2 linked regions of the Stegostoma tigrinum genome follow. The protein of the gene in region 1 interacts with the protein of each later gene in a pairwise test. Links are inferred from orthologs where the notes say so. Each region holds a gene or a part of one and is shown on either strand. Other genes may lie near its edges.

Region 1 (15,842 bases):
TTTATGTCCACCAGTACTGAAGAAAACCAGATGCTGTACCACGCAGTTATACACCTGGGTAATATGCTTTCTATGGTACATCTGTAAAAGAAAGTGAGGCTCCTTACGGACATGCCCAATTTCCTAAACTGCCCGAGGATTGAGAGGCATTATTATGCCTTCTTGACTGTGGGACAGTGCGTGATAAGTTGTCGGTTTTCGGTACTCCTTGAAGTAACGATCTCAATCCTTGCCACCTCAGCTCTGTTGATGTAGGTGGTTTGCTGCAGGTTTCTGTTTTCAGGTCACATAATGCCCTGTTTAATGTGTCATTCCAAAGGAAGATCCTTCAAAACAGCAGCACTCCCTCAACATGCCCATCAAGAGGGGGTGCTGTTTTGATTTAGTTTTAGCAGGTGAAGCTGGACAGATGGAAGAAAAGGCAGTGGGAGAGCATTTTGTCAGTAGCAATCATAATTCACTATTTTTAATATAATCTTGGAAAAGGACAAACATAGAACAGGAGTTAGAATTCTAAATTGGGTCAGGCCAATTTTAGGAAACTGAGGATTGAGTCAGCCGAAGTAGACAAGAAACAATCACTCAAAGATAAATCAGTGCCAGACCAGAAACATTGAAAGGAGATTCCAGAGATTCGAGGTAAACATATCCCCAAAAAGTAAAAAAGAGAGGGACCCATAAATCTAGACCATCCTGGTAGTTGGGAAGATTCTGGGCTAAGATAAGGTAGGGCCTATGTCTTGCACTGAGAACTCTAATACAGAAAACCAAGAGGAATACAGAAGTGATGATGGGAACTGCAGATGCTGGAGAATCCGAGATAACAAAGTGTGGAGCTGGATGAACACAGCAGGCCAAGCAGCATCTCAGGAGCACAAAAGCTGATGTTTTGGGCCTAGAATATAGAAAGAGGAGGATTGAAATCAAAATGGAAATTAAGACGGGAAAGAGAATGCATAAAACAATGTTTGCAAACAAAATCATAGTGAGCCCAAAGATGTTTTATCAATACAGTAAGCACAGAGGGTAACTAAAGGAAACCAACATAAAAGCAGGTCTGAAAAGGTAACCTATGTATAGACGTAGATGATGTTGATATGGTTCTTAATGTACTTTGTGACTGTCTTCATAACAGAGAGGGGACAATACAGATATTTTTGTTAAGTGTGAAGTATTAAATAGAAGCATAGAGCTGTACAGCACGGAAACAGATCCTTCAGTCCAACTTGCCCACGCTAACCAAATATCCTTAATTAATCTAGTCCCATTTGCCAGCACTTAGCCCATATCCCTCTAAGCCCTTCCTACTCGAGTATCCATCCAGAGGTCTTTTAAACGCTGTAATTGTACCAGCCTCAACCATTTCCTCTGGCAGCTCATTCCATACACACACCATCTTCTGCATGAAAAGATTGCCCCTTAGGTCCCTTTTAAATCTTTCCCCTCTCACCTTAAACCTATGCCCTCCAGTTTTGGACTCCCTGACCCTGAGGAAAAGACCTTGGCTGCTCACCCTATCCATGTCCCTCATGATTTTATAAACCTCTATATGGTCACCCCTCAGTCTCAAGAAAAATAGCCCAGCCTATTCAACCTCTCCCTATAACTCAATCCCTCCAAACCTGGCGACATCCTTGTAAATCTTTTCTGCATCCTTTCAAGTTTAACAACACCTTTCCTGCAGTTGGGAGACCAGAACTGAACACAGCAGTCAAAAAGTGGCCCTAACCAACATCCTGTACAGCTGCAACATGACATCCCTATTCCTACACTCAATGCACTGACTAATAAAGGTAACAGTATTAGGAAGAGAGGATTTTGATAGGATTATCACCTGTCATGTTGGATTAATCCCTAGAGCTGGATTAACTGCAAAAGAAACAACAGGATGCAGACCTGCTGATTTCCAAATCCCTGACCATCCTAATTCACTGGCTCCCTGTTTGCTGTGCATCTCCCCGCCCCAGACATTGCTGAGCACTTCATTCCCATCATCACCTCTGGATACAGAGGCCAGGGTAAGTACAAAGATACTTTAGGACAAAGAGCAATGGTGTCAGCAGAATCTATTGCTCTATTTACACCTCATTCTTCTTGCTTCCAAATGCTGCAGTATAGTCACAGTGCAGATACTCATCCATGGTACATCCTGTGTGGACACAGATACAGTCGGGGCTACACAGAGGCTGGTGTAATGGAAACACTATCAAATTTATATAAACGTGAGACAATCAGTTTCTAATCCTCACTGAATAAAAAGCGGTGCCAAAGGATTGGAACAATGCTGATGTTGTACCTTCGTTTAAAAATAGAGCGAGGGACAGACTGAATAATTACAGGCTAGTCAGTTCAACTTCAGGAGCGGGCAAATTATTGGAATCAGTTCTGACAGGCTGAATAATTTGTCATTTAAAAAAGCACAGATTGAGATTTCTCAAGGATAGGCATTATGGATTTATTAAGAGATGACAGTTTCTGACTAACTTGATTTTTTTTTAAGGAAGCCACACAGATGACTGAAAATATGGTGTATAGGGGTTTTAACACAGCTTTTGACAAAATCCCTCAAAATGCAAGGGTTAGCTGGGAAAACCAGGCAATTATGCTCTGAAACTCAAAGGGGACAAATGAATCATCCATGTCTTCCAAGCTTTTTTTAATTATATGAATTTTTTTCTAATTAACTTGTTCTGAGATGTTATTATATACTTCTGGAGCAGGTAGGACCTGAACCAGGGCCTCCAGGTCCAGGAGTAGGGACATTACTTCTGCACTACAACGGGGCCCTCTCAATCCTCTTAATAACGATGTCTAATTCACTTAGGTAACTTTGTAGAGAATCATTATCATGACATAAACTACATCTTGTTAAGATTGCATCCCCGTGTTAAGACAAATTGATGGCTGTTACTCCAGCCCAGGTTCAGGATATTGCATCTGGGTTGCAGAGGAACTTGGAGTGGGAGGGGAAAGATCTAGATGGTTGTAGTCCATGTAGGGCCAGCAATACAGGTAGAGAAAGAGGAAAGAGGTTCTGCTGAGGGAATATGAGCAGGTAGGTGCTGAATGAAAAAGCAGAACCAAAAAGGTAATGATCTTTAGGTTACCACTTGAGCCATGAGCTAAACTGTCACAGGGTCAACATATAGAGGTAAACGTGTAACTCAAAAATAGATGTGGGAGAAACAGTTTCAGAGATTGTAGGAACTGCAGATGCTGGAGAATCTGAGATAACAAGACGTAGAGCTGGATGAACACAGTAGGCCAAGCAGCATCAGAGGAGCAGGAAAGCTGACGTTTTGGGCCTAGACCCTTCAGGTTTGATTTCATGGGACATTAGCAGCAATACTGAACTGTTCTGATGGTACAAGCTCCACCTGCATCATGCTTGCACTGGAGTCCTGGTAAATCTTATAACTACGGTTGTGATTAGGCTTCAAACTAAATAGAGTGTGGAGAGTTGAAGATAACAAAGTGTGGGGTTGGGTTAACACAGTAGGCTAAGCAGCATCTTAGGAGCACAAAAGCTGACGTTTTAGGCTGAGACCCTTCATCAGAAAAGGGGGATGGGGAGAGGATTTTGATACAAATAGGGGGAGAGGGGGAGGCAGACTGAAGATGGATAGAGGAGAAGATAGGTGCAGAGGAGAGTATGGGTGGGAAGGTAGGGAGGGGATAGGTCAGTCCGGGGAAGATGGACAGGTCAAGGGGGCAGGATAAGGTTAGTAGGTAGGAAATGGAGGTGCGGCTTGAGGTGGGAGGAGGGGATAGGTGTGAGGAAGGACAGGTTAGGGAGGCGGGGCCGAGCCGGGCTGGTTTTAGGGATGCACTGGGGGGAGGGGAGATTTTGAAGCTGGTGAAGTCCACATTGATACCATTGGGCTGCAGGGTTCCCAAGCGGAATATGAGTTGCTGTTCCTGCAACCTACGGGTGGCTTCATTGTGGCACTGCAGGAGGCCCATGATGGACATGTCGTCCATTGGTTCAGTTGCATGGAAAATTATAAAATCAAACGTAAAGGAGAAAGTAGGATTATAATGATGGGGTTGGGGATGATTGTTACCAGAAGATAAAAGGAAGTGAGAATGTCATATTGCATCGAGGAACGATATAGTTGTGGGGAAATTTGATAATAGAACAAAGATGAAGGCTTTGTATCTTAATGCTTGAAGCATTCAGGATAAGATGGATGAACTAATAGGAAAAATTGAGGTAAATGAGTATATCTTATAGCCATAAGGGAATCATGGTTATAAGGAGATCAAAAGCGGGAACTCAACATTCAGGTAGTGGAGAGCTTCTGAGCCCAGGACTTGTCTGCTTTTCTTTGTTTCCTTTTTTTACCTCTCTTCCTTTTATAGTTCACTTCTATTTTACTTTACTTACTGCTTGGTGAAGGGTTCAGACTTGGCAAAGGCATCATCGGCACAGACTCATGGCGGGATGGGCAGAGGCGAGTTTGGGCCCACTACCAGACCTAGCAGCAGCTGCACTGGCGAGGTGAGCCCCAAAGCGGGCTTGTGGTGGCAGTACTTGGTGGGGCTGTTGCACTTCCCAGCCACTTTGGTGGCGTCTGCATTGGCAAGGTCCACCAAGGACCCATAGCGGTTTGGGCATTGATGGAGGCAGGATGGCACCAAAGAATGATGACTTTTATTCTAGCAGGGGGTGGGCGCAGAGAAGGGGCCTCATGCCTGGCCACCTGGCCCACGATGGAGCACTTAATAAAAAGGACTGTAAGGTGGGCACTTCTTTCACTGTCACATTTTTCTGCCTTTATATTCTGATTTGTTTTATTTTTCTGCATTTTAAGATGGCGCCAGAGTGTAGTGATGCTGCACACCACTTTTCACCACATTTTGTAACAAGATACACATGACAAGAAATAAATCTTACCGAGGCAATTTCTTCAGCCAGAGGGTGGTGAATCTGTGGTACTCATCACTGCAGATGGTTGTGGAGGCTGAGCCATTGGGTGTATTTAAGACAGAGGTTGACAGGTTCTTGATTAGTAAGGAGGTCAAGAGTTATGGGAAGAAGGCAGGAGAATGGGGTTAAGAAATATAATCAACAATGATCGATTGCTGGAGCAGAAACGATGGGCTGATTGGCCTAATTCTACTCCTATATCTTATGGTCTGATGGAGGTCATCATGAAGCAGAATTAAGACAAAATATGAAATTTAAACGTTAAAGCACACTGTCTAACTGAAGATGATTTTTGATTAAAGTGGAAGATCTATAAATTAGATTTCAGATCTGTTAATAAGGATGTATTAAGGTCACAAGCACAAGTTTTATTTGGGTAAGTTGGGGGAAATTAAAATATCATAGCTGTTTACAAAGAAAATCTTGAAGACAAAGCAAGAACAGTAAATAATCACATTAGAAACAAATGGCAGGAACTTTCCTAGGCCCGAAATGTCAGCCTTCAGAAAGATTTCTGAAGAAGGGTCTAGGCCCGAAACGTCAGCCTTTCCTGCTCCTCTGATGCTGCTTGGCCTGCTGTGTTCATCCAGCTCTACATCTTGTTATCTCAGATTTTCCAGCATCGGCAGTTCCTGCTATCTCTGCGTAATTCTTTGTTTTGTTTTCGTGTTTAGTTCATGTGACACCTCTTCTGGGTACGTCCATCCTGAAACCTACCTCAGTGCAATTCATTGCCGTATGCGAACTCTCGACCTCTCTCTCCATCTGCATCACCTCGTGCTGTCTCAGATCTCTCCTGCCTCCCATTCCACTTTCATTGTCTGATCGTTCAATAGTCCTGAAAAAGAGTCACTGGACCTTAAACATCTACTCTGCTTTCTCACCACAGATGCTGCCAGACCTGCTAAGTTTCTCCAGAAATTTCTATTTTGGTTTCAAATTGCCATCATCCCGCAATTTTTTGTTTTCTGGTAAATCTCTTCTGCGCCCTCTCCAGGGCATTTGCACATTTCCTATCAGGTGGATTGTACACAATATTCTAGCTGTGGCCTAACCAATGTCTTATACAGTTCCATTACCACCACACTGCTCTTAAACTCTGTCTCAATGAAACAGCAGTGCCGCCTTTGTGTCCAGGCAAAGTAGACTGTCTCTGCTTGTTGTTGAAAGTGAATGGTATTTGGGGGCCATCTTGTGGTGTAGTGGTAATGTCCCTACCCCTGGCCCAAGAGGCCCAGGTTGAGTCCCACCTGCTCCAGACACGAGTAATAACTCCTCAGAACAGGTTGATTAGAAAAAGAAGTTAAATAAAAAAAGAAAATAAATTGTCCCGTGTGTGTTCTTCACCACTTTATCCACCAGGCCTTAAGGGTTCAGTGTATACACACACCAAGGTCTCTTCATCCATGGTGCTTCCCATTCATTTCTTTTGTCTTCATTTTCTTGCCCAAGTGTATCACATGTATCCAGATTGATTTCCATTTGTCACAGGCCAGCCCATCCATATTGTCATTTCCTGCGTTGGTGATGGATGGCAGGAAATGACATCACCAACCCAAGGAAACCTAATCAGATAAATAGAAAGCGGGACATAACACCAGCGCTTCGTCGGAGGCTCACTGATGATGTTACCTAGAATGGTGACGAAACGTCTGAAAACTAACCTTCCAGCTCAGCGAGCAATCTCACATCCAGAACCTCAACCTGAGCTACAAATCTTCTCGAAACTCGCTAGGGCCAACATTCTCCCCTGTGGACCTAAACAGACACAGATTTCCAGTCACAAAAAGAAACCCAGTCAACCATCATTCTCTGCATCATGACACTCAGCCAAATGGGGACCCAATTTGCTAAATTTCCTTGGATCCCATGGGCTCTTGGCTTCCAGTCAGTTTGTACAATGTCGGGAGGACCGTTACCTCCTCCCGACCAGCAGGCGGTGCTCTGACGGGCAGTTTGTACAAAGTCGGGAGGACGGTTACCTCCTGCCGACCAGCAGGCGGCGCTCTGATGGGCAGTTTGTACAATGTCGGGAGGACGGTTACCTCCTGCCGACCAGCAGGCGGCGCTCTGATGGGCAGTTTGTACAATGTCGGGAGGATCTGTTCCTCCTCCCGGGCGGCAGGCGGCGCTGTGATGGGCAGTTTGTACAATGTCGGGAGGATCATCTGTTCCTCCTCCCGGGCGGCAGGCGGCGCTGTGATGGGCAGTTTGTACAATGTCTGGAGGATCTGTTCCTCCTCCCGTGCGGCAGGCGGCGCTCGAATGGGCAGTTTGTACAATGCCGGGAGGATCTGTTCCTCCTCCCGGGCGGCAGGCGGCGCTGTGATGGGCAGTTTGTACAATGTCTGGAGGATCTGCTCCTCCTCCCGTGCGGCAGGCGGCGCTGTGATGGGCAGTTTGTACAATGTCGGGAGGATCATCTGTTCCTCCTCCCGGGCGGCAGGCGGCGCGCTGATGGGCAGTTTGTCCAATGTCGGGAGGATCTGTTCCTCCTCCCGGGCGGCAGGCGGCGCTGTGATGGGCAGTTTGTCCAATGTCGGGAGGATCTGTTCCTCCTCCCGGGCGGCAGGCGGCGCGCTGATGGGCAGTTTGTACAATGTCGGGAGGATCTGTTCCTCCTCCCGGGCGGCAGGCGGCGCTGTGATGGGCAGTTTGTCCAATGTCGGGAGGATCTGTTCCTCCTCCCGGGCGGCAGGCGGCGCGCTGATGGGCAGTTTGTACAATGTCGGGAGGATCTGTTCCTCCTCCCGGGTGGCAGGCGGCGCTGTGATGGGCAGTTTGTACAATGTCGGGAGGATCATCTGTTCCTCCTCCCGGGCGGCAGGCGGCGCTGTGATGGGCAGTTTGTACAATGTCGGGAGGATCTGTTCCTCCTCCCGGGCGGCAGGCGGCGCTGTGATGGGCAGTTTGTACAATGTCGGGAGGATCTGTTCCTCCTCCCGGGTGGCAGGCGGCGCGCTGATGGGCAAAGTGCGCAGGTGCAGTTACAGCAGTCGGTCGTGTTTACATTCGAAACGGTCGTAAACACCGCCTGTGGAGAGCAGCTCACTGAGCGAGCTTTAAATAATAAATAGTAAAACTACACTGGGCTCCGGCGTCACGGAGTCGATGTATCGATTCCCAGCTTCAGCGAAGGAGAGAGATGGACACGAGCGAGTTATTCACCAGCTGCAGGAAGGGGGAACTCTCCAGAGTTCGGTGAGTGCGGCTGAGGCCCAAGTGCAGTCGGTTAGTGTGGGGTAAAACCCTGAGGGTGAGGGGGAAAATGTGAGGGAAAGTGGGGGAATTGGGGGAGAGGGAGATGGGGGGAGTAGAGGAGAGGGGTGGGTGGGGAAATGGGGTGATGGCAGTAAGGGGGTGGGTGGAGGAATGGGGGTGTGATGGAGAGAGTAGTGGAGTGACACAGTACAGAAGCTTTCCCTTCTGTCCAACTTGCCTGTGCCGACCAGGTTTCCCAAACTGAACTAGTCCCATTTGCCTGTGTTTGGCAGACATTCTTCTAAATCTTTCTCGTCCATGTACGTGTTCAAATGTCTTTTAAATGTTGCACTTCGACTCATCTCTACCACTTCCTCTGGCAGCTCATTCCATACACCAGCACACTGTGTGAATAAGTTGTCTTAGGTCTCTTATAAAGCTTTCTTCTCACCCTGAACCTACCTTGGGAAAAGACCTTGGCTATTCACCTTATTTTATGCTCCTGATGGTTTTATAAACTTTTATAAGCTCTCCTAAATTCTGGGTTAAAAAAGCCTGAGCCTCTCCTTATAACTTAAACCCTCTAGTCTCGGTAACTTCCTTATAAATCATTTTTACACCTTTTCCACTTCAAAAACATCCTTAAAACTGTGTGACCAGAATTGCACACAGTACTCCAAATGTGGTCTTACCAGTGACTTGTATGGTGGTAACACGATGCCCTAACGCCTGTACGCGGTGTTCTGACCGATGAAGGCAAGTGTGCCAGCCGCTGCCTTCACCATCCTGTCTATCTGTGATGTCACTTTCAAGGAACTATGTACCTGCACCCCTAGGTTTCTGCCCTGGTTTTTCTTACCAAAATGCATCACTTCTCATTCATCTAAATTAAACTCTAGCTGCAATTCCTTGGTCCACTGATAACCTTCTTCACCATCCACTATACCACCAATTTTGGTGTCATCCATAGAACTCAATAACCATGCCTGCTATACTCTCATCCTCATTGTATATGTAAATGATGAACAACAATGACTCGGGAATGGGGGTGTTGGAGAGGAGAGGTGGGGAGGTAACTTAAGAGATGGGATTGTTCAATGGAGGGATAGAGGGAAGGGAGAAAGGTGAGGGGAGGGGAAGTAGAAGGGAAGGGAGAATTGGAGCAGGAAGGGAGCAAAAGCAGGAGAAATGGAGAGAGAGAGAAGGTTGCAAGAAGTGGAGTAGGGATGGCAGTGAGGCAGAATGGAGGTGGGAGGAGAGGAGATGGGCTGGAAAGTAGACCTAGTGGAATGACCTGCCAATTCTGAATTTATTATTGTAAGATTCCTTAGTATTAGTGCAGGAGCAACAACAGCTCTTGACATTGGTATGAAGGAAAAGATAAAGCTGCCATAGTTCTACTGGACCAAAGCACTCCTCTCTATTATTAAACAGAGGAGAGTTGTGGTGGTATAACTTGAAGTACACCACATCTCAGGAAAGACATTGAGGTGAGTCCTTCATGGTAACCTCAACCTGTACAGGTGTAGTGTATGTACATGGATTTTCTGTCTGCATTGTGTATTAGTGTGCAAAGCTTCCAGTACATACATGCAAGTGCACCACAGTGAAAGCCCCACTGACCGTCTTAAGTTGGTCACTAGCATAATTCTTGCATGTTCAGAATTATTGTGTAAACATTGTCCAGTTGCAGTTCATATTTAATGTTACACACCGTCGTAAAGTTTAGAAGCGGGGACTGGTTGGATGTGGGCAGTACCTTACTTGTTGCAAACAGCTGAAGGGACAGGCTGTTTGATGCAGTTCAGAAGTCTTTCAATTCAGCCTTCTGACCTGGCACTTCTACTATCTGATTCACTTTGTACGGTACGATCTGCCTGTAGAATGCACAAAACAACACTTTTCACTGTTATTTTAGTACATGTGAGAACAACAAATCAAATCTATGGAAGGATATGGTGGGGTGGGGTTGCAGAGAAAATTCACAAGAATGATCCTGGGGATGAAGGACTTGTCATATGTGAGGCAAACAACAATTCTAGATCTGAGATAATAAAGTGTGAAGCTGGATGAACACAGCCGGCCGAGCAGCATCTCAAGAGCACAAAAGCTGACATTTTGGGCCTAGACCCTTCATCAGAGAGGGGGATAGGGTGAAAGTTCTGGAATAAATAGGGAGAGAGGGGGAGGCGGACCGAAGACGGAGAGAAAAGAAGATAGGTGGAGAGGAGAGTGTTGGTGGGGAGGTAGGGAGGGGATAGGTCAGTCCAGGGAAGACGGACAGGTCAAGGAGGTGGGATGAGGTTAGTAGGTAGGAGATGGAGGTGCGGCTTGAGGTGGGAGGAAGGGATGGGTGAGAGGAAGAACAGGTTAGGGAGGCAGAGACAGGCTGGACTGGTTTTGGGATGCAGTGCGTGGAGGGGAAGAGCTGGGCTGGTTGTGTGGTGCTCTGGTGGGAGGGGACGAACTGGGCTGGTTTTGGGATGCAGTGGGGGAAGGGGAGATTTTGAAGCTGGTGAAGTCCACATTGATACCATTGGGCTGCAGGGTTCCCAAGCGGAATATGAGTTGCTGTTCCTGCAACTTTCGGGTGGCATCATTGTGGCACTGCAGGAGGCCCATGATGGACATGTCATCTAAAGAATGTGAGGGGGAGTGGAAATGGTTTGCGACTAGGAGGTGCAGTTGTTTATTGCGAAGCGAGCGGGGGTGTTCTGCAGAATGGTCCCCAAGCCTCCGCTTGGTTTCCCCAACGTAGAGGAAGCCACACCGGGTACAATGGATACAGTATACCACATTGGCAGATGTGCAGGTGAATCCCTGCTTAATATGGAAAGTCATCTTGGGGCCTGGGATAGGGGTGAGGGAGGAGGTGTGGGGGCAAGTGTAGCATTTCCTGCGGTTGCAGGGGAAGGTGCCGGGTGTGGTGGGGTTGGAGGGCAGTGTGGAGTGAACAAGGGAGTCATGGAGAGAGTGGTCTCTCTGGAAAGCAGACAAGGGTGGGGATGGAAAAATGTCTTGGGTGGTGGGGTCGGATTGTAAATGGCGGAAGTGTCGGAGGATGTAAATGGCGGAAGTGTCGGAGGATGATGTGTTGTATCCGGAGGTTGGTGGGGTGGTGTCTGAGAACGAGGGGGATCCTCTTGGGGCGGTTGTGGCGGGGACGGGGTGTGAGGGACATCTGCTTGGATGTGGTTTCACAGGTGTCAGCAGTCCTTGGCACATTGTTTAGCTTAGGTGGCAATGCAACTGAAATACTGAAATATCTGTATTCCCTGGAAACTACATGCCGTACATCCTGGTACATCTTCGAACAATTTTGCACTTTTTGCCTTTTTTTATGCCATCTCTTTGAGGCTCTGAGGCAGCAACAGCTGCCATAGAGCTTTATCATGGTTACAGAGTTATGCCCCACCTCTCTGAATTAGTAGTAGTTATGTTTCTATCTATACCACTTGAAATTCCACCTGTGTGTCATCAGCAAACTGATATCCATTTATGCAATACCTTGATTTAATATTTATGAAACATAGTAAACAGATGAGGCAACACAGATTCCAGTGGGCCATCATTGGTCATAATACCAGAGTCAACATCTCTCTTTCCTGCACATCAGCCAACTTCTCAAACAGGTCAGTAATTTGACTTAAATTGCATGAGCTCCAACTCTAGCTAACTATTTCTCATGCGGGACTTCAGTGAATGCCTTTTGGAAGCCCAAATAAATAATATTTATTACATTTTTTTGAACAGCTGGTTAAAGTCTATCCAACCAATCAGGCAAGGCTTCCTATTCTTTACAAATCCATGCTGAGGGCCCTCCTGTGACACAGTGACACTGCCCCTACCCCTGGACCAAGAGACCTGGCTTCAAGTCCCACCTGCTCCAGACGTGTGTAATAACATCTCAAGTGGTTGATTAGAAAACAATAGGTTAACTTAAAAAAACAAATCCAAGCTGGTTCTTTCTAGTCAACGAAACATTTTCAGTATGGTTAATCATTCTATCCTTAATTACAAACTCTTTTAATATAGAATAATTTTTCACATAGAATAGTGATTCCTAAACTTTTTCCCACTGTGAGCCCAATTTGAATTTTCAAAATTAGGCACAAACTCTCAACAGGAAATGAGAGAGCAGGGGCATAACTCTGTAACCATGATAAAGTTCCATGGCAGCTGTTGCTGCCTCAGAGCCTCAAAGAGATGGCATAAAAAGAAGGCAAAAGGCAAAAAGCACAAAATTGTTCGAAGATGTACCAGAATGTACTGCATGTAGTTTCCAGGGAATACAGATATTTCAGTTGCATTGCCACCCAAGCTAAACAATGTGCCGCGGACTGCTGACACCTGTGAAACTACATCTGAGCAGATGTCTGTGCCTCTGAAGGGCTGGGAAGAAGCTTAATTGATTAAGTGACTGCACAAAATGGTTGCAGATGGATTTCAAGGTAGGCAAATGTGTAATCATCTGCTTAGGACTGCAAAAAGGTATGGAGTGCAGTGTCTTCCAATTATGGAAAGTTATAAATAGTGCACTTTCAAAGAAACTTAGGAGTTGAGGCACAAAGATAATTAAAATATCATGAACAGGGACTGAATATAACCATAAGACTGAAGGACTGATAGTCATGATATCTTGAAAGGAAGAATGCTAGGGGTAGAAGATGTACTTCACCTACACATAGCCCTGATTAGATCTCACCAGAAGTTACTGTGAATAGTTCTGGACAGCACATCTTTGGAAGGCTATAATGGCCTTGGACAAAGTGCAGTGTTGTGGCTGTCAGTTAGATGTAACCGAAGAGATTGAGATTGCAGGTGTAAATGTTCTGCTGAAGACTTGGAGTATGCAAGTACAGGTTGTAGCTTCCTAACCAACGCTGTCTAGTCCAGCAACCCTTCTGGCCTAGCATCCGCAATACTGCCAATTTTCCCTCTAAGGGTTATGCATCAATTTTTATTCATATTTTTTACTTTTGGTGTGCTTTGTCTTTTGAGTGCCCAATTGGAAAATCATTCATCCATTGATACAAGTGGAGGTGTGGTCTTTAAAGTGTTTGTGCATAGAATATGTTTGTCCTCCTGGGTTTAGTAAATTCTCTGGCCTGCCAACAATGCTGACCCTGTGGATTAGCAAGGTACGGCCAGCAGTCTCCAATATCATCATCATCATATAGTTATAGAAGATAATCTCACGAATGATAGGTTCCTAGGAAGTACAGAGAATCAAAGTGACTTTGGTTTTCCTGTCCGTAAGTTCTTGAAGGCAGCAGGACAGATTGATAAGATATTCAAGAAGGCTTATTGGAGAGTTGCCTTTATTAGCCAATGCATTGAAGACAAGAGCAAGGAGGTTATGATGGAGCTGTACATAATGTAGAAGGCCACTGCTAAAGTTCTGTATGCACTTCTGGTTGCCACACGAGGAAGGAAGTGGTTGCACTTGAGAGAGTACAGAAGAAATTCACCAGGATCCAGCACGGAATGGGGTGATTCAGCTATGAAGAGAGACTAGATAGGCTGGGGCTGTTTTCCTAATAGCAGAAAAGGCTGAAGGTCTTTCTGATTGATTTATACAAAGTTCTGAGGTGTATAAGATAGATGGGGAGAACCTTTTCCTCTTAATAGAAGTATCAATGACTAGGGGGAGGGTGGGGCAGCTTTGAGATAAGGAGGGTATATGAGGATGATACTTTCTCGTGTTCTTTGTCTGTACCCCTCCATGTAGCACCAGCTTCTGTTTTGTACAAAACACATCAATCTTTGAGAACTTAAGACAATTAATTAAAATGTAGTAGAAACAAGACCGTTATTGCACTGTTATTACAGACATATCACAAGCAATTGTTATGTTTAGGCCTTTTGCTTTATCTACTGCTGTTGCAAAACATGTGTATTTTTTAGATCCCTACAGTGTGGAAACAGGCCCTTTAGCCCAACAATTCCACACTGAACCTCAGTGCATCCCACCCAGACCCATTCTTCACTTCTAAGCTTTTCCAGCAATTTCTGTTTTTGTTCCCAGCTTAGAATGTCACCCGTACCTCTTGTACCTTTATTGCAGGCTGTCACGTTACTGGCAGTCTAAAAGCTTGAAGCTATAGTGGTCTGAATTTAACTGTTTGTGAATTCTCCTCTTGTTTCTAGCTGCAGGCTTTTAAAATCTTGGCTTTCTGGAGAAAATGTGCTTATGTAGCACAGGTGACTGGCTACGAACGCTCCAGTGAGCTGCAACTGTAGTTTCAGTTCAGTGAAGTTCGGCACTGCAGTAAACATGAACTCAGTGGTATTCCAATCCTACTTTCTGCGATTATACGTCTGTATAAGCTTGGAAATATCATACCGTGGATGTTCCGAATCAGAAATGACACCTCCAGTTACAAATCTTGTTTAAATTGCAGCAATATACTTTAACAAAATATAACAAAGTTGAGGCTGTTACAGAGATAGTACGGATAACAAGGTGCAGAGCTGGATGAGCACAGCAGGCTGAGCAGGAAAGCTGATGTTTTGGGTCTGAAGAAGGCTGTACACCTTGTTATCACAAAGTTGAAGCTTCTTGCCTTGCACTCATCAGCTGGGGTACAAGAAACTATGCTTCAAAAGGGCACATCAGTTCACGCAATATGAAAAGATGCAACAAATCATAAGATATAGGAGCAGATATGTGAACTCTTCAAGACTGCTGTACTGTTCAATGAGATCATAACTAATCTCATACTCATCAACTCCACTCACCAGCCTTTTTTACTTCATGACCCTTGATTCCCTTACTGATTAAAAAATCTTGTCTATCTTCACGTCGAATATACTTAAGGACCTGGCCTTGACAGCTCTCTGTGGTAAAGAATTCTGTAGATTCATTTCCTATGCTGAGAAGCAATTTTTCCTTACTTCTATCCTAACTGAATGATCCCTTTCTCTGAGCTACTAGACTCCTACGAGAAGAAATAATCTCTCTGAATCTAGCTGTCAAGCCCCCAGAGAATCTTGTATGTTTCAATGAGGTTGTGTTTCAATCTTCTAAACTCCAAGTTCAGGCCCAATCTGTTCAACCTCTCCTCAAAACAATCCTAGAAATAGCCTAGTGAACCTTCTCTGCCTTACCTGCAATGCCAGTGTATCTTTCTTTAGAAAAGGGGCCCAAAACTGTTTGGTGTTGAGGTGAGGCCTGATTAATTCCTTGTATAGTTTTAGCAAAACTTTCATATTTTTATGCTCCACTCCCTTGAAATAAAGGCTAACAGTTCAACTTACCTGCTGGACTTTGGATGCTGGTTAAATATATTTTGAAGGAATAACAACTAGTTTTATTCAAAATATACCATCTGGAATTACTACCAGCGATGTTATTCTTAGGAAAACTCTTAAATAGTTCATTTCACATTCCCAACTTACTTTGTACATAATGGAATACCTTTTGAAATGGAGTCACTGTTGGAATGTAATCCTTATATGCAAGCAAGTTCCTGCAAACAGCAAATAAATAAATAACTAGATAGTCTTTCTGAGGCTAAAAATTGGTCAGTGAGGAAGGGATAGCTCCTCTGTTCATTTTAGAAATAGAGCTGTGGGACTTTTTACATTTACATGAGATAGCAGATGGAAGCTTCTTTTAACATCTCATCTGAAAGGCGGCTCCTCTGACAATGCAGGACACTGTCAGTACAGTGCAGGGTCTGCTAGCTTATGAGCATTTGTTTCTAAA
Region 2 (14,899 bases), on another chromosome or scaffold:
TACCTTTTAAAACACCGTGGAAATCAATCTGAAGATTACAACAGAAGTATTTACAAATCATTACTTATATAGATTGCAGAGCACAGAGGAAGGCCATTCAGCCTCTCCTACCTGTACAAGCTCTCTGCAAGAGCTACTCAATTCGTTCCAATGCTCTTCTGTCGCCCCATAGCCCTGAATGTTCTTCCATTTGCAATTATTTAACAAGTTCCCTTTCAGGATATTGAAGCTTATTGTAATCTATATGTGATGATGATGTTTAACTTGAATCAAGTTCCTGAACAACAGACTCATGGCTGGATGTTGATTTTTGTCATTTGGTTATGTTCCTATGGAACATGCTGGAACATTTTCCTACCCTGAAGGTGCAATATTAATTTGTTTGCTGTTGTTGGCTACAGGAACCAGTGACTACGAGAAGCTCCAGGTCCTCCCTCCAAAATGTCACAGAATCCACACAGTGTGGAAGCAGGTCATTCAGCCCAGCGACTCCACACCTAGACCCACCTGATCATTGTAACCTTGTATTTCCATTGCCAATCCAATCCACCTAACCTACACATCTTTCAACTATGGGAGGAAACCCATGCAGACATGGGGAGAATGTGTAAACTTGGCACAGGCAGTCACCCAAAGGTGGGGTTGAACCCAGGTCCCTGGTACAGCTGGGCAGTAGTGCTAACCAGTGAGCCAAGACACTATCTGCCAGTGACAGCAACACCTAGGCATCTATTACCCTCACTAACCCTAAGGGTAGAGTGGGAAGTGAGGTGCCTGCTTGAATATCACCATTTCGTAGGGTAGTCAAGATTTAAAAACTTTGCCGTGGGTCTGGAGTCACATGTAGGCCAGACCAGGTAAGGATAGCAGATTCCCTTCCCTAAGGGACAGTCGTGACACAGATAGGTTGTTATGACAACAGACAGTGGTTTCATGGTCACTATTACAACTGCTCTCTCCTCCAGATTTTTATTGGGTTCATACTTCCCCATCTGCCATGGCAGGATTCAACCCCAGGTCCCCAGAACATTAATCCGAGTCTCTGGTTTGCTGGTCCAGTGAAAACCCCACTACACCACTGGCACTACCTGTCCAGTGATGTAACCTTTCTGGTACTGATGTGACAGAGATGGTTACAGAAATGGGGAGGAATGAAGCCATGGAGGGGTTTGAATACAAGGATAAGAATTTTACATTCGAGGTGATCCTGGACTCAAGCTAAATCACTGTGGGTTGTATTATTGTAGAGCTGGCTCACTTGTTTTAACAATAGGCTGCCTGTGTGTGGGACCACCCATGTGGCATTTTGAAGTGACTGTCCTGCTGCCTGATCTGAATGGGAGCTTCCAGCTAACTGCAAGGTCACATACCTTAATACCAATGTTTGAGGGCAGCTCAGCAAGCACAAGAGGGACCAGTGTGTGCAGGGAACATGGTGGGAGTTAGGACAAGGGCAGCAGAGTTTTAAACAAGCCGAAGTTTGGGGTTAGGTGACCAACCAGGACAGCATTGAATAATTGAATAATAACACCAAGGAGTGTAGATGCTAAGGATACCACTAGCACCGTGTCTCAGTGGTTAGCCATGCTGCCTCACAGCGCCAGGGGTCCAGATTCAATCCCACTCTCAGGGGGCTGCACATTCTCCCTGTGTCTGTGCAGATTTCCTCCGGGTGCTTCAGTTTCTTCCTACAAACCAAAGATGTGTGGGTTCAGTAGATTAGTCGTGGGGGATGTGGAGTTATAGGGATATGGTAGGCTGAGTCTGAATGACACACTCTTTGGAGGGTCAGAGCAGACCTAATGGTGCATGGCCACCTCCTACACTGCAGGGATTCCAAGAGGTAAGGCAAAATCAACTCCTGGGGAAATCTCAGCAGCTCCAAGTTAACATTTTGAGTCCAGTTGCCTTTCAAAGGTCCATTAGCTCTGTTTCTCTGTCCATAGATGGTGCCAGACTTGCTGAGTTTCTCCAGCTATTTCTGTTTCAGGTTGGAATAATCAATGCAGATGTAACAGACACAGTGGGCAGTTTTGGCTGAGGCAGGGGTCAGGGTGATGGAGTGGTGGCAACAGGTAGACCTGAGGCAGGATACATGATCAGCAATTCACATCAGGATCACAGGGAGTCCCTGAGATTGTTAGCACTTGGGTAGGGCCGGGGAACAGAGGGTGCCCCAAAGCTTCCAGCGTGTTCAACCATTTTCAAAGCACATTCTCTGCATCTAAAGCATCTCCCATGAGACGTTTAAAGAGTATAAAAATGGAAAGGGGGTGAAGACAGAGAGCAGAATTGCTGAATTTGCTGCAGAATCACACTGGAAATTAAAAGCAAAATAAAAATTGATGCTGATGGTGACTAAGGCCCCGCAATCACAGATAATTCCCAAAAAATACCAGCTTTGAAAAAAACAATAGCAAAAAAGGCACACAAGTAAAATTAAGTCATTTCTGCAGCCATCATATACAAATCACTGGTATATTCCGAATGCCTGGAGAATTACAGCTGTTGATGGCCTGACCCATTAGTGAGTCAGCAAAGACACAGAACTTGGAATAGATCGCCACGGAAACCAAGGACATGTTGCATTTATATAGCGCTATTAATGTAATGAAGGAATCCAAGATTCATAGCAACGTTATCAAAACAATTTCATCAAACCACTGAAGGGATTATTACAACAGGTAGGTTTTAAGGAGGAAAGGGAGCTAGAGAGACAGAGCTGTACAGCGAGATTTCCAGAGGTCACCAAAGGCAAGGGACTAAAATGAGGATGTACTAATTTGGAGGTGTACAGCAATTTCAGAGGTTAATGGGGCTGGAGGAGATTACAAAGACAGAAGGAGCGAGGCATAGAAAAGGGTTTAAAAAGGAGAGTGAGAAATTTGTGAATTGAGTTGCTGCTGTGGGGTGAGAGGCAATGTGGGTCAGCAGACGGTGAGCAAAAGGGATTTGGCATGAGCACAACAGCCAGGAAAACATCACACAGTCAGGCCTGGAGGTCACAAAGTGTAACATTATAAACAGAAGCCATTTCAAAGGATGGCACCCATGTTAGATGCTGGCTCATTTCCATCAATTTGTACCTTGCAAATTACATGATGTGACCAGTCACATGAGAAAACTGCTAATTGTTATCCAATATGCTGGAATGGTTGGCGTTCCAATCATTTTCCATGACAGGCTTCCGACTCTGATTGGACAGAGTCCTGGAGATGTCTGTATTTGAACCTGTACAACCAACCCCCCCACCCGATGCCAAAGCCAACGATACCATCTTCAATCATTTTAGAATCAATGAAGAAATTGGAAAGCTGAGCATCTTTTTAAAAAACATCAGACTTTTCTGCTGGTGGCTCACCCAGTGACCTGGACGTTAATTCAATCCCAGCAAGGTCCAGAATCAAGCCTGGAGGGTTGACAACAAATAGACAAGCATCAAAATGGTAAGGACATAGCTCATTTTCTTAAAAAGTGGTATTTGACTTCCATCTGCAAACAAATCCTGTTCCAGAAAATTAAAATGAAAGGAAGGAATCTTTAAATATATAAATATACTGTAAAAAAAAAGGAAGTAATCTTAACGCTTACTGTACTGGATTGAGGGACCGAGTGGGCTATTTTTGCTCCTAATTCTGGTTTTGTTCTGTATGTTCAGGGGTGTGGGCCAAGCTCTATGAACGTGCACTGGGACCATTCTGGAAATGTGACTGTGCCAGAAGCAATGATAGGAAAATGCTGGGAATTGTTTGGGTACTGATGGGAACATCTTAGGAAGCTGAGTGGGATAAGTTCTGGGAAGCTGCTGGAATCAGGGCTGGAATGGAGCTGGGACTGGGATAGAAAATTGGCGACGGAGCTGGAACAGAGCTGGGAAGCTGTTCAGATGCAGCTGGGAAGCTTCTGGGACAGAGCTGGGTGCAGCTGGGATGGAGCTGGGGAGCTGCTGGGGGAAGGTAGGGTTAATTTTGGAAGCTGCTGGGGTGAAGTCAGGATACATTTGAAATGCTGCTAGGATGGACCTGGGAAGCTACTGAGAAGGGGCGGGGAACCTGTTGGGGTGGAGCTGTGACAAATTTAGGATGCTGCTGGCTTGGAACTGGGAAGCTGCTGGCATGGAGCTGGGATAAATTTGGGATGCTGCTGGGATGGAGCTGGGGAGCTGCTGGGACAGAGCTGGGTGCAGCTGCAATGGAGTGGGAAGCTGCTGGGATGGAGCTGGGATAGATTTGGAATGCTTCTGGGATGGACCTGGGATGCTAATGGGAAGGAGCAGGGAACCTGTTGGTGTGGAGCTGGGATAAGTTTAGGATGCTGCTTGGCATGGAGCTAGGAAGCTGCTGGAATGGAGTTGGAATAAATTTGGGATGCTGCTGGGATGGAGCTGGGGAACTGCTGGGGTGGAGGTGGGATTAATTTGGGATGCTGCTGGGATAGACCTGGGAAGCTACTGGGAAGGAGAGGGGAGCCTGTTGGGGTGGAGCTGGGATAAATTTAGGATGCTGCTGGCATGGAACTGGGAAGCTGTTGGCATGGAGCTGGGATAAATTTAGGATGAAGTTGGGAAGCTGCTGGAATAAATTTGGGGCGCAGCTGATATGGAGCTGGGAAGATGCTGGGATGGAGCCGGGATTAGATTATATGGGATGGAGCTGGGAAGGTGCTGGAATAAATTTGGGGTGCTGCTGGGATGGACCTGGGAAGCTGCTGGAGCTCTGCGTTACCTCTGCAGCCTCCTTCTCGAATTTTTCGATGGTCCTCTTGTCGATGCCACCACATTTGTAGATGAGGTGCCCAGTGGTGGTGGATTTACCGGAGTCGACATGGCCAATGACAACGATATTGATGTGGGTTTTCTCTTTGCCCATGGCTGGGGCTGGGGACGGATCACTGCAGCAAACAGACACAGACACACAAAGGGTGGGGGGTGTGGAGAGAGAGAGAGAGAGAGAGAGAGAGGATTCAGGGAGAAGGTAATCTCTGAGTCACACTGGAAGTGAAAAGGTCAAACCCCGTTCCCGTTGCATGGGTCTGTTAAAGAGAGCGCTGCTGTCATACACCTCCAATGGGGCTTGCCCAGATCGAGGGGCAATATCCAGAGGATCCTGGCAGGTGCCGGGTTTCAGTTCATGGAGATTGCTTCAAATAGAACTCACTCTCAATCCAGCCTTCTGCCTCAATGTAATTATCTTTCCCAATCTCCCAATTCCATCCTCTTAAAACAATTCTTTGTCTGGAATGATGACATTATTAGATTGTCTCGCTTTTATTTCCCATCTAATCTCCTCTCCCTGCGTGTTGAAGGAAAGCTAGTCTTATTCCTGAAATTAATCTCTCTGTCTCTGTCCTATCTATCTATTCCTCCCTCCCTGTCTATCTCTCTCCCTCCTTCCATTCTACTTAATCCTGTTCCATGTTCGCTCTGTCACACAGTCCCCCGTTTGTAGACCTGCACCCTCTTTAGTGACAGCAGACCTCCCCCCCGCCTCCGGTCGGTAACACAGCTCTCCCCGGGGTGCGTGCCTCTCCTGCCCGCTCTTACCTGCGCTGCTGCCGGGGAGAGCCGCCGCTGCCCCTCGCTGCTTTTTATTGCGGCGGGCGATAGGCGGTGTCTCAGCGAAAGAGCAGCTGCGCAAGTACGAACACACACCGCCCCCACCTCCCTCCCTGCCTTCTCCCTCCCTCCTACAGCAATGCGGTAAAGAATATCCAGCAAAATAACACACTGCGGAGAGAGAGATAGAGGGATTAACACAGAGAGGGGGAGGATGGAGAGATAAACAGAGGAGGGGAGGGAGGAGAAAGGGATAAACACAGGGAGACAGAAAGAGGGAGGGAGGATGGAGAGATAAACAGAGAGGAGGGATGGAGGATAAAGGGATAAACACGGAGAGAGAGGAGGAAAGAGCGATGAACAGAAGGAGACGGAGAGAGGGAAGGAAAGAGGGGGAGGAGGATGGAGCGATATCCAGAGGGAGAGGACAGGATAGAGAGATAATCACAGGGAGACAGAGAGAGGGAGGGAGGATAGAGGAATAAACAGAGGGGGAGGGAGGCCGGAAAGAGAGATAAAAAGAGGGAGAGATAGAGGAAGGGAGGATAGAGAGATTAACTGGGAGAGAGGGAGGGAGGTTAGAGAGAAATAAACAAAGGGAGACAGACAAGGAGGGAGGAAAGAAGATAAACAGGAGAAAAGAGAGGGGGAGGCAGGATAGAGGGATAACAGAGAAAAGGGAAGGAGGATACAGAGATTAACAGGAGAGAGAGGGTAGGAGGATAGAGAGATAAACAGAGGGAGACAGCGGAGGAGCTGAGGGAACAAGAGGCGAAGGAAAGTGAGGAGGACAGGAGAGAAAGGCGAAGAAGCGACAGTTGGGGAAAGAAAGATTCCGGGGTAAAATATACCCTTTATATCACAACAAATAAAATACCCCAGATGTTGCAGCTTAATACCCATCCCTATGTGTATTGCAGAGAATGGCAGCTTCTCTGTAAGTTACAGAGAGCAGCAGCTCTTAGGTATAGTATGGAGATTGGCAACATCTGAATATATTAGAGAAAGGTAAAGGTTTTGTGTGTTGAACAGAATAACACGGCGTGTGTTATAGAGGATGGGCCTGAGTGTATAATAACCGGGGTACCATCTCTTAAGTACACTACAGAAAATAGCAAACCGTGTATCACATAGAGTTGTATCAGAGATAATGGGAACTGCAGATGCTGGAGAATCCAAGATAACAAAGTGTGGAGCTGGATGAACACAGCAGGCCCAGCAGCATCTCAGGAGCACAAAACTGAGATGCTGCTTGGCCTGCTGTGTTCATCCAGCTCCACACTTTGTTATCTATAACATAGAGTTGGCAACCTTACGGTACATTATAGAGAATTCCAGGCCTTGTGTATATTATACAGCGTAGTAGGCTTCTTCCGTGCTACAGACAATAGTATCAGCGGTGGGTCATTGTAGAGAACAGCCTCTGTGCAGACTAACGGGTGTAGGAGCCTCTTTGTTTCGCGTCGCGTAAAGCATTTCCTGCATGTATTAGAGAGAATAGCTGTTCTTTTCCATATCCTAGAGGATTACATTCCCTACGTATATCATAGAGCGCAACAGCCCCTGCAAAGACGATAGAATACATGGAGCTCGTGCTCGATCTAGGAAATTAACTCAGATTGCGAAAGAAACTCAGCAGGTCTGGCAGTTTCTGTGGAGCGAGGAACAGAGTTAACATTTCGAGTTTGATGTGACGCTAAAGACAAGTCAAACTGGACTCGAAACGTTAACTCGATTTCTCTGGCCGCAGATGTTGTCAGACGTGCCGAGTTTCTCCAGCAATTTCTGTTTGCTTCAGATTTTGAGAACCTGTGCTATGTTGCTTTCATGTGGGTGTGTAATGTAGGAAATTACAGCTCCTGTGCACATTGTAGTAAGTAGCAGCCCTTCTATACTGTAAAGAATAACAATCTCTGTGTGTGTCCTCCAGAATCAGAGAAGGCGACAGCGTAGTTGCAGCGTTAATGTTCCCTGGGCTAGTTCTCCAGAACCCCAGGGCAAGTGTTCTTGGGGCGTGGGTTTGAATTCCACCGCGCCAGATGGTGAAATTTGAATTAGATTTTCAAAAATAGAACATAGAAAAATCTGGAAGTTAAAAACTATCTGGTGGAAACCATGTGATCACAGTTCTATTGTCAGACAAACCGACTTAGTTCACAAATGTCCTTACCCGGTCTGGTCTCCCCGAGACTCCAGGCCTACAGCAAAGTGGTTCATTCTTAACTGGTAAGTAGGGATGGGTGACAAAACCAGGGTCAACCATGTTATATGAACAAGTTTTTTTAATAAAAAGAAAGCAATTAGTGTGTGTCTTGTATATGATGTACAAAACGCTAGTGCAGCCTCATTTGGAATATCGCGTGCAGTTCTGGTCGCCCCCATTACAGGAAGGATGTGAAAGCATTGGAAAAGGTACAGAGGAGATTTCCCAGGATGTTGCCTGGTCTGAAGCGCAGGCCCTATGAAGAAAGGCTGAAGGACTTGGGTCTGCTCTCATTGGAGAGAAAGAGGCTAAGAGGGGATTTAATAGAGACATACAAGATGATCAGAGGATTAGATAGGGTGGGCAGTGAGAGTCTTTTTCCGAGGATGATGATGTCAGCTTGTAAAAGGGGGCATAGCTACAAATTGAGGGGTGATAGATTTAAGACAGATGTCAGAGGCAGGTTCTTTACTCAGAGAGTGGTAAGGGCGTGGAACGCCCTGCCTGCCAATGTAGTTAACTCAGCCACATTCGGGGCGGCACGGTGGCTCAGCGGTTAGCACTGCAGCCTCACAGCACCAGGGACCCAGGTTCGATTCCAGCCTCAGGTAACTGTCTGTGTGGAGTTTGCACATTCTCCCTGTGTCTGCATGGGTTTCCTCCGGGTGCTCCGGTTTCCTCCCACAGTCCAAAGATGTGCAGGCTAGGTGGGTTGGCCATGCTAAATTGCCCACAGTGTTCAGAGGTGTGTGTGGGTTATAGGGGGATGGGTCTGGGTGGGATGCTGCAAGGGGCGGTGTGGACTTGTTGGGCCGAAGGGCCTGTTTCCACACTGTAGGGAATCTAATCTAATTTAATCAGGGGCATTTAAACAGTCCTTGGATAAGCATCTGGATAATGATAGGATAGTGTAGGGGGGTGGGGCTTAGATTAGTTCACAGGTCGGCGCAACATCGAAGGCCCAAGGGCCTGTTCTGCACTGCATTGTTCTATGTTCTATGATAGCAATTCATGTGGAACTCCATGTTTCTCTGTGAATAATCAAGTTCTCTTTTTGCATTGATTCACAGGAGTGGGTTTCACTGTCCATTTATTGCCCACCCCTAATTGCCCAGAGAACAGTTAAGAGTCAGCCACATTGCTGTAGGCCTGGAGTCACATATAGGTGAGACCAGGTTAGGATGGCAGATTTCTTTCCCTAAAGAATGTTAATGGCCCCGAAGGAAATTCCAGGCATTCATGGGCCTCATGATGACTTAATGGTCGTCATTAGACTCTTACTTCCAGACATTTTTTTAATATTGAATTCAAATTCCACTGTATCTGCTTTGATGAGCCCAGGACCCCAGAACATTACCTGAGTCTCTAGATTAACAGTGCAGTGACAATACCATCAGGCCATCACCTCTCTCAAAATTCATTGTTGAACAATGATTCTATGATTATTTTTCTCAACATCCCCATCGCAAAACTGCTTCCCTCTCCACCACGGTAGTAGCACAGGTTAATGGGAGGTTTAATAAAGATGAGACAATTTAAGAGACTAAACAGGGAGAAAATGTTTCCATCGGTAAAAAGATTTGCAACAGGAGTACTAAGATTTAAGACAATCAACAAAAGGGTAGTAAAAGGAGATTCAATAATAAGTTTTAAAAAGGAATTGGATAAATATTTGACAAAGAAAAAAGAGGATGAGTTATGGGAAATGAGCTGATGAGAAACACCCATGAGATCATCCTTTCCAAGAGCTAGGATAGCCATCATGGATCAAATGGCCTCTTTCATAGAATCCCTACAGTGTGGAAACAAGCCATTCAGCCCAAACTGCCCCTCCAAAGAGCACCCCACACACTACCCTTGAGCTGTAGCCCTGTACTACTCAGCAATGATCCACCTAATTTACAAATCCTTGGATGCAACAGGCAATTTATCATGACCAATACCACCTACCCTGCACATCATTGGACTGTGGGAGGAAACTGGAGCACCCGGAGGAAACCCAGGTAAACACAGGGAGGATGTGCAAGCTCCACACAGACAGTCCCCTGAGGGTGGAATTGAACCCAGGCCCCTCAATACTGTGAGGCAGCAGTGCTAACCACTGAGCCACCGTGCTGCCTTTCTGCGCTCTTTGGTGTCAATACTTTCACACAAATGCCAAGCATCAAGATATGACCTGCAAGGAGTCAGTGCTGAGAAACAACTGAGAAACAGGCATTGAAAAATACAAATAAATTGTCAGCCTAGGCCTGGCATGGATCTGGATGGCCCACACTGCACGACACACCAAGTGTAGGGGATCTGGTTGGTCCACACTGCACAACACACCAAGTGTAGGGGATCTGGTTGGTCCACACTGCAGGACACACCAAGTGTAGGGGATCTGGTTGGTCCACACTGCACAACACACCAAGTGTAGGGGATCTGGTTGGTCCACACTGCACAACACACCAAGTGTAGGGGATCTGGTTGGTCCACACTGCACGACACACCAAGTGTAGGGGATCTGGTTGGTCCACACTGCAGGACACACCAAGTGTAGGGGATCTGGTTGGTCCACACTGCACAACACACCAAGTGTAGGGGATCTGGTTGGTCCACACTGCACAACACACCAAGCATGGGGATCAAATTGGCCTGAACTTCAAGTGGTTAGAATTGACCAATCAGCAATGTTCAAAGCAAACCATTGGATTATATACAATATGCAGTCAGGAAAATACAGATTATGCCTTATGGTACTGAAATAAAAAGCTGCTCCAGCTGAGTTTCAAGTGAAATCTGTCCAGAATGTTTCTTTCATTATTTTCTTGGACTGCTGTTCCTCGTAATATGCACAAGAAATGACATTATTTCTAATACACAGGGAGAGCTAAACCCTGTGATGTTCAAAGGGGCTGTTGAACTCTACAAATGTATGCGACATTCAATGCACTAATAGACACAGGGACTGCTACCCTCTGCACTATATACATATGTCTATATTCTCTATGAAATACACAGAGACTGCTACTCTACAATATACCCAGAGGTTGCTATTCTCTATAATATGTTCTGAGTCTGCTATTTTCAAAACACACATAGGGGCTGCATTCTTTATAATGCATGTTGGGATTTGTTATCTTCTGTAATAAAAACTGGGGCTGTTATTCTCTATAATATACACAGGGTGTGCTATTCTCCATAGTGTGCCCTGGGGCTGTTTTTATGCTGGAAACCCCGGAATTCCCTCCCTAATAGCATTATGGGTCAACCTACAGCTGGAGGACTGCAGCGGTTCAAGAAGGCAGCTCACCCCCACCTTCTCAAGGGGCAGCTAGGGACATGTAATAAATACTGGGCCAGCCAGCGATAACCACATCCCGCAGAGATGAATAGCAAAAACATGCACAAAGTTAGGCATTATCCATCATGTAGGTGACAGCATAAAAGTACAACAGGATATTGATAGACTAAGTGAATCGGCAAAATTGTAGCAGATGGAGTTCAAAGCGTGAAGGAGGTTATACATTTTGGAGAAAAAAAGGATAGACTGGGGTAGTTTCTGGGTGGTTTGAGGTTTAATGTAGTTGGATGCCCAAAGATACTTGGGGATTCCGGTGCAGAGATCTTTAAAATGTTACAAACAGGTGCAGAAAATCATCAAGAAATCTAATGGAATCCGGAGGACTGGAATATAAGGAAGCAGAAGTTATGCTGCAGTTACACAAAACCCTGGATAGACCCCAATTGGAGCACTGTGAGCAGATCTGGGCACTGCTCCTTAGGGAGGATATACTGGCCTTGGAGGGAGTGCAATGTAGCTTTACGAGAATTGATTGGGTCTCAGGGGTTAGGTTACGAGGAGAGATTACACAAACCCAGCCTGCTTTCTGTAGAATTTAGAAGGCTAAGGGTTGATCTGATCGAAACCTTCAATCTACTACGAGGAAAAGACAGGATAGATAAAGATAAGCTATTTCCACTGGTTGGGAATTCTAGAACTCGGGGCATGAACTGAGAATTGGGGCCAGACTGTTCAGGAGAGTTTTTTGATTATTATTCATTCACAGGATGAGGGTTTCACTGGCCAAGCTGCTATTTATTGCCCATCCCAGAGGACAGTTATGAGCCAATTACATTGCTGTGGGTCTGGAGTCACATGTGGGCCAGAGCAGGTCGGGATAGCAGTTTGCTTCCTTAAAGGACTTTCGTGAACCAGATGGGGTTTTCCTGACCATTGGCAATGGATTCATGGTCATCATTCAACTCCTAATTCCAGATTTTTATCAGATCCAAATTCCATCATCTGCTGTGGCAGGATTTGAACCTGGGTGCCCAGAATATTTCCTGTGTTTCTGGATTAACAAATCAGTGACAATACCACTAGGCCATCGCCTCCCATTGGAAGCACTGCTACGGGACAAAGGGCACTAGGTGATTGGAACTCTCTTCCACAAACAGCGGACGACGCAGGATTAGTTGTTAATTCAGGAACGGAGATAGATGAGCTTTTGTTAAGCAAAGGTGCTGAGGGATATGGTCCAATGGCAGGAATATGGAATTAGGCCACAAGTCAGTCATAATCTCATTGAATGGTGGAACAGGCTCAAAGGGCTGAATGGCCTAGTCCTGTTCACATGCTCCTTTTGTCTGGTGAGGAGAGGTTGGACAGACTTGGGGGGGCTTGTTTGCACTGGTGTTTGAAGGGTAGTGAGTGACTGGATTGAAGTATCTAAGATCCTGCTGGTCTTGACAAGGTGGCTGTGGGAAGGATGTTTCCTTTGGGGGGGGCAGTGCAGAACCAGAGGGCAAGGTTTTATACAGGGATGAGGTCATTTTAGTTTTCTCTGAGGGTCATGAGTCTTTGGAACCTTCCATCTCCAATGTGGGCAGGAGCAAAGTCTTTGAATATTTTAAGGCTGTGGGAGAGAGATTCTTGTTGAACAAGAGGATGAAACAGTATTGGGGTCAGACAGGAATGTGGAGTCATCAGATCAGTCACAATCTTATTGAATAGCAGAGAAAGCTCAAGGGGCTGAAGGGCCTAGTCTTGTTCCTAACTTAGATGTTTTTATAAATTTGCAAGGAAATCTATTGGGGATAGGTGTTTCAAACAGCCAGCACAGAGACAGGGAGCTGAATGGTCTCCTTCAGTCCTCTGAGGTTTTATAATTAAACATTTTCAGGGAGAAATCATCCACAATGGAGAAGAATATCCCAGAAAGGGAATGAGAAGTGGCTCTGAACAGTTCAGCTGCTGTACCGAAAACAGCCCTTCACTGTGTGACCTCTCCCTAGGATTTGTGAATGATGGAAATAGCTGGACTGAGGTGTGTGTCAGAATGGAGCAAATGACTTGGTATCAGAGCTTCACATTACTCTGTGCACATGATCACTGAGCGACTGAAATCTAGGACAAGCAGCTGCCTGAAACCTGACACTGTCGATCCAATCATCTCCTGCTACTAGCAAATAATCCTCTGTACTTCACGGGAACAGAGTGACTTGAGCTTTGCTTTCTGGACCTGAGCAGGTTTGCAATTGTTAGCAATTCTAAAGCGCCCTTAATTCTTCATTTTCAAATCCCTCATATTGTCTCACTCCTCTTTAATTCCCTCCTGTTCTCTGAAACCTCTCTGCTCCTGTAATTCTTGTCTCGTGTGATTCTCACTCTGCGGCTGAAGGTTCTGCTGAGTCTGGAAGCACTGAGGGCCCACCTTCTATCCGCTTCAGAGTCTGAAAACCTGCTCTTTTGATCATAATCCATAATATCTCCTCATGTATCTCAATCTGAGCTGGCTCTTTGAAGCAGTTAAAATTTATAAAAACATATAAGTTAAGAGCAGCAGGGGGCCATTCAGCCCCTCACATCTGTTCCACCATTCAATGGGATAATGGCCGATTGTGGCCTAACTCCATGTATCTGCCTTTGGACCATATCGCTCAGTACCTTTGTTTAACAAAAAAGTATCTACCTCAGTTTCTAAATTAACAACTGATCTAGCATCCGCTGCTGTTTGTGGAAGAGAATTCCAAACCTCTCCCATCCTGTGTGGGTGTAAGTGCTCCCTAACATCTTTCCTGAATGGCCTGGGTGTAATTCTCGGACTATACTCCCTAGTTCTAGAATTCCCAACCAGTGGAAATGTCTTATCTTTATCTATCCTGTCTTTTCCTGTTAATATCTTGAAGACTTTGATCAAGTCACGCTTTAAAACTTCTAAATTCTTGTGATAACAGGCCTAATTTGTTCAATATCTCCTCATAACTTAACTCCTATAGTTTAATCAAAACTATCCCTGAAACATAAAAACATAGGAGCTAGGAGCAGGCGTGGGCCTTTCAGCCCTTCGAGCCTGCTCTGTTATTCGATACTATCGTGGTTGATCCTCTATCTCAGTGCCATATTCCTGCTTTCTCCTCAGACCCCTTGATGCCTTTCATATTTCTGTGTTTATCTATCTCCTTCTTGAATATAAACAGCAACAAAAACAAAGTTGCTGGAAAAGCCCATTGGGTCTGGCAGCATCTGTGAAGGAAAACACAGAGTAATGTTTCGGGTCCAGTGACCCTTCCTCAGAGTTCTGAAACATTCTGGACCCCTGGATCTAGACTCCCCCAAACAGGAAGACATCCTCCCTGCACCAGGTATGTCCAATCCTGTGAGAGTCTTTGGATTTCAAACATGTCCTCTCTTGTTCATCTAAACTCTAGGGAGCAGGGCCCCAGCTGAACCAACTTCTATCATTGGAAAAACATATTGGAATAATTTGCCACATTATAGGTGCCATGTAGTTGAAAGTTTTAGTTGTTATCACTGCGAGCTTGTGGGTTCAGGTTTTGGGCCAGTGCCAAAGTTCCCATGGAAACTGCGGCGCTGACAAGTGGAACCCAGAGACCCAGCTCCGAACTCTGAGTTAACATCTGCTGGGATCGTCACATGTAATGATTGTGATGGATCCCTCTCACCCCGGTTTGGACAGGTTGTGGGATCCCATAAAGCCCCTGGCCCTTGAACAAATTAACCATTCCCATCCCCACCACCACCCATGTTGTCAGAAACAAAGATGATAGTGGACATTGAACAAGTAATCCCATTGTAGGAATCAGTCTATAATAAGATTATAAGAATAGGAGCAGGAGTAGGCTATTCAGCCCAT

Evidence for each region.
Region 2: the proteins of abtb1 (region 1) and elongation factor 1-alpha 2 interact in binary tests that used the Homo sapiens proteins (3 or more experiments, as listed by UniProt). The two-hybrid records come from large-scale screens. The link is inferred for Stegostoma tigrinum from reciprocal best matches to the Homo sapiens genes ABTB1 and EEF1A2.

The regions. Positions count from the first base shown.
Region 1 is NC_081364.1:5,667,464-5,683,305, reverse strand, and holds the start of abtb1 (ankyrin repeat and BTB/POZ domain-containing protein 1), read left to right. Parts: upstream 1-7,907; 5' UTR 7,908-8,075; coding exon 8,076-8,131; intron 8,132-15,842. UniProt on the Homo sapiens protein: May act as a mediator of the PTEN growth-suppressive signaling pathway. May play a role in developmental processes.
Region 2 is NC_081372.1:3,116,274-3,131,172, reverse strand, and holds the start of elongation factor 1-alpha 2, read right to left. Parts: upstream 5,677-14,899; 5' UTR 5,543-5,676; intron 4,891-5,542; 5' UTR 4,869-4,890; coding exon 4,725-4,868; intron 1-4,724. UniProt on the Homo sapiens protein: Translation elongation factor that catalyzes the GTP-dependent binding of aminoacyl-tRNA (aa-tRNA) to the A-site of ribosomes during the elongation phase of protein synthesis.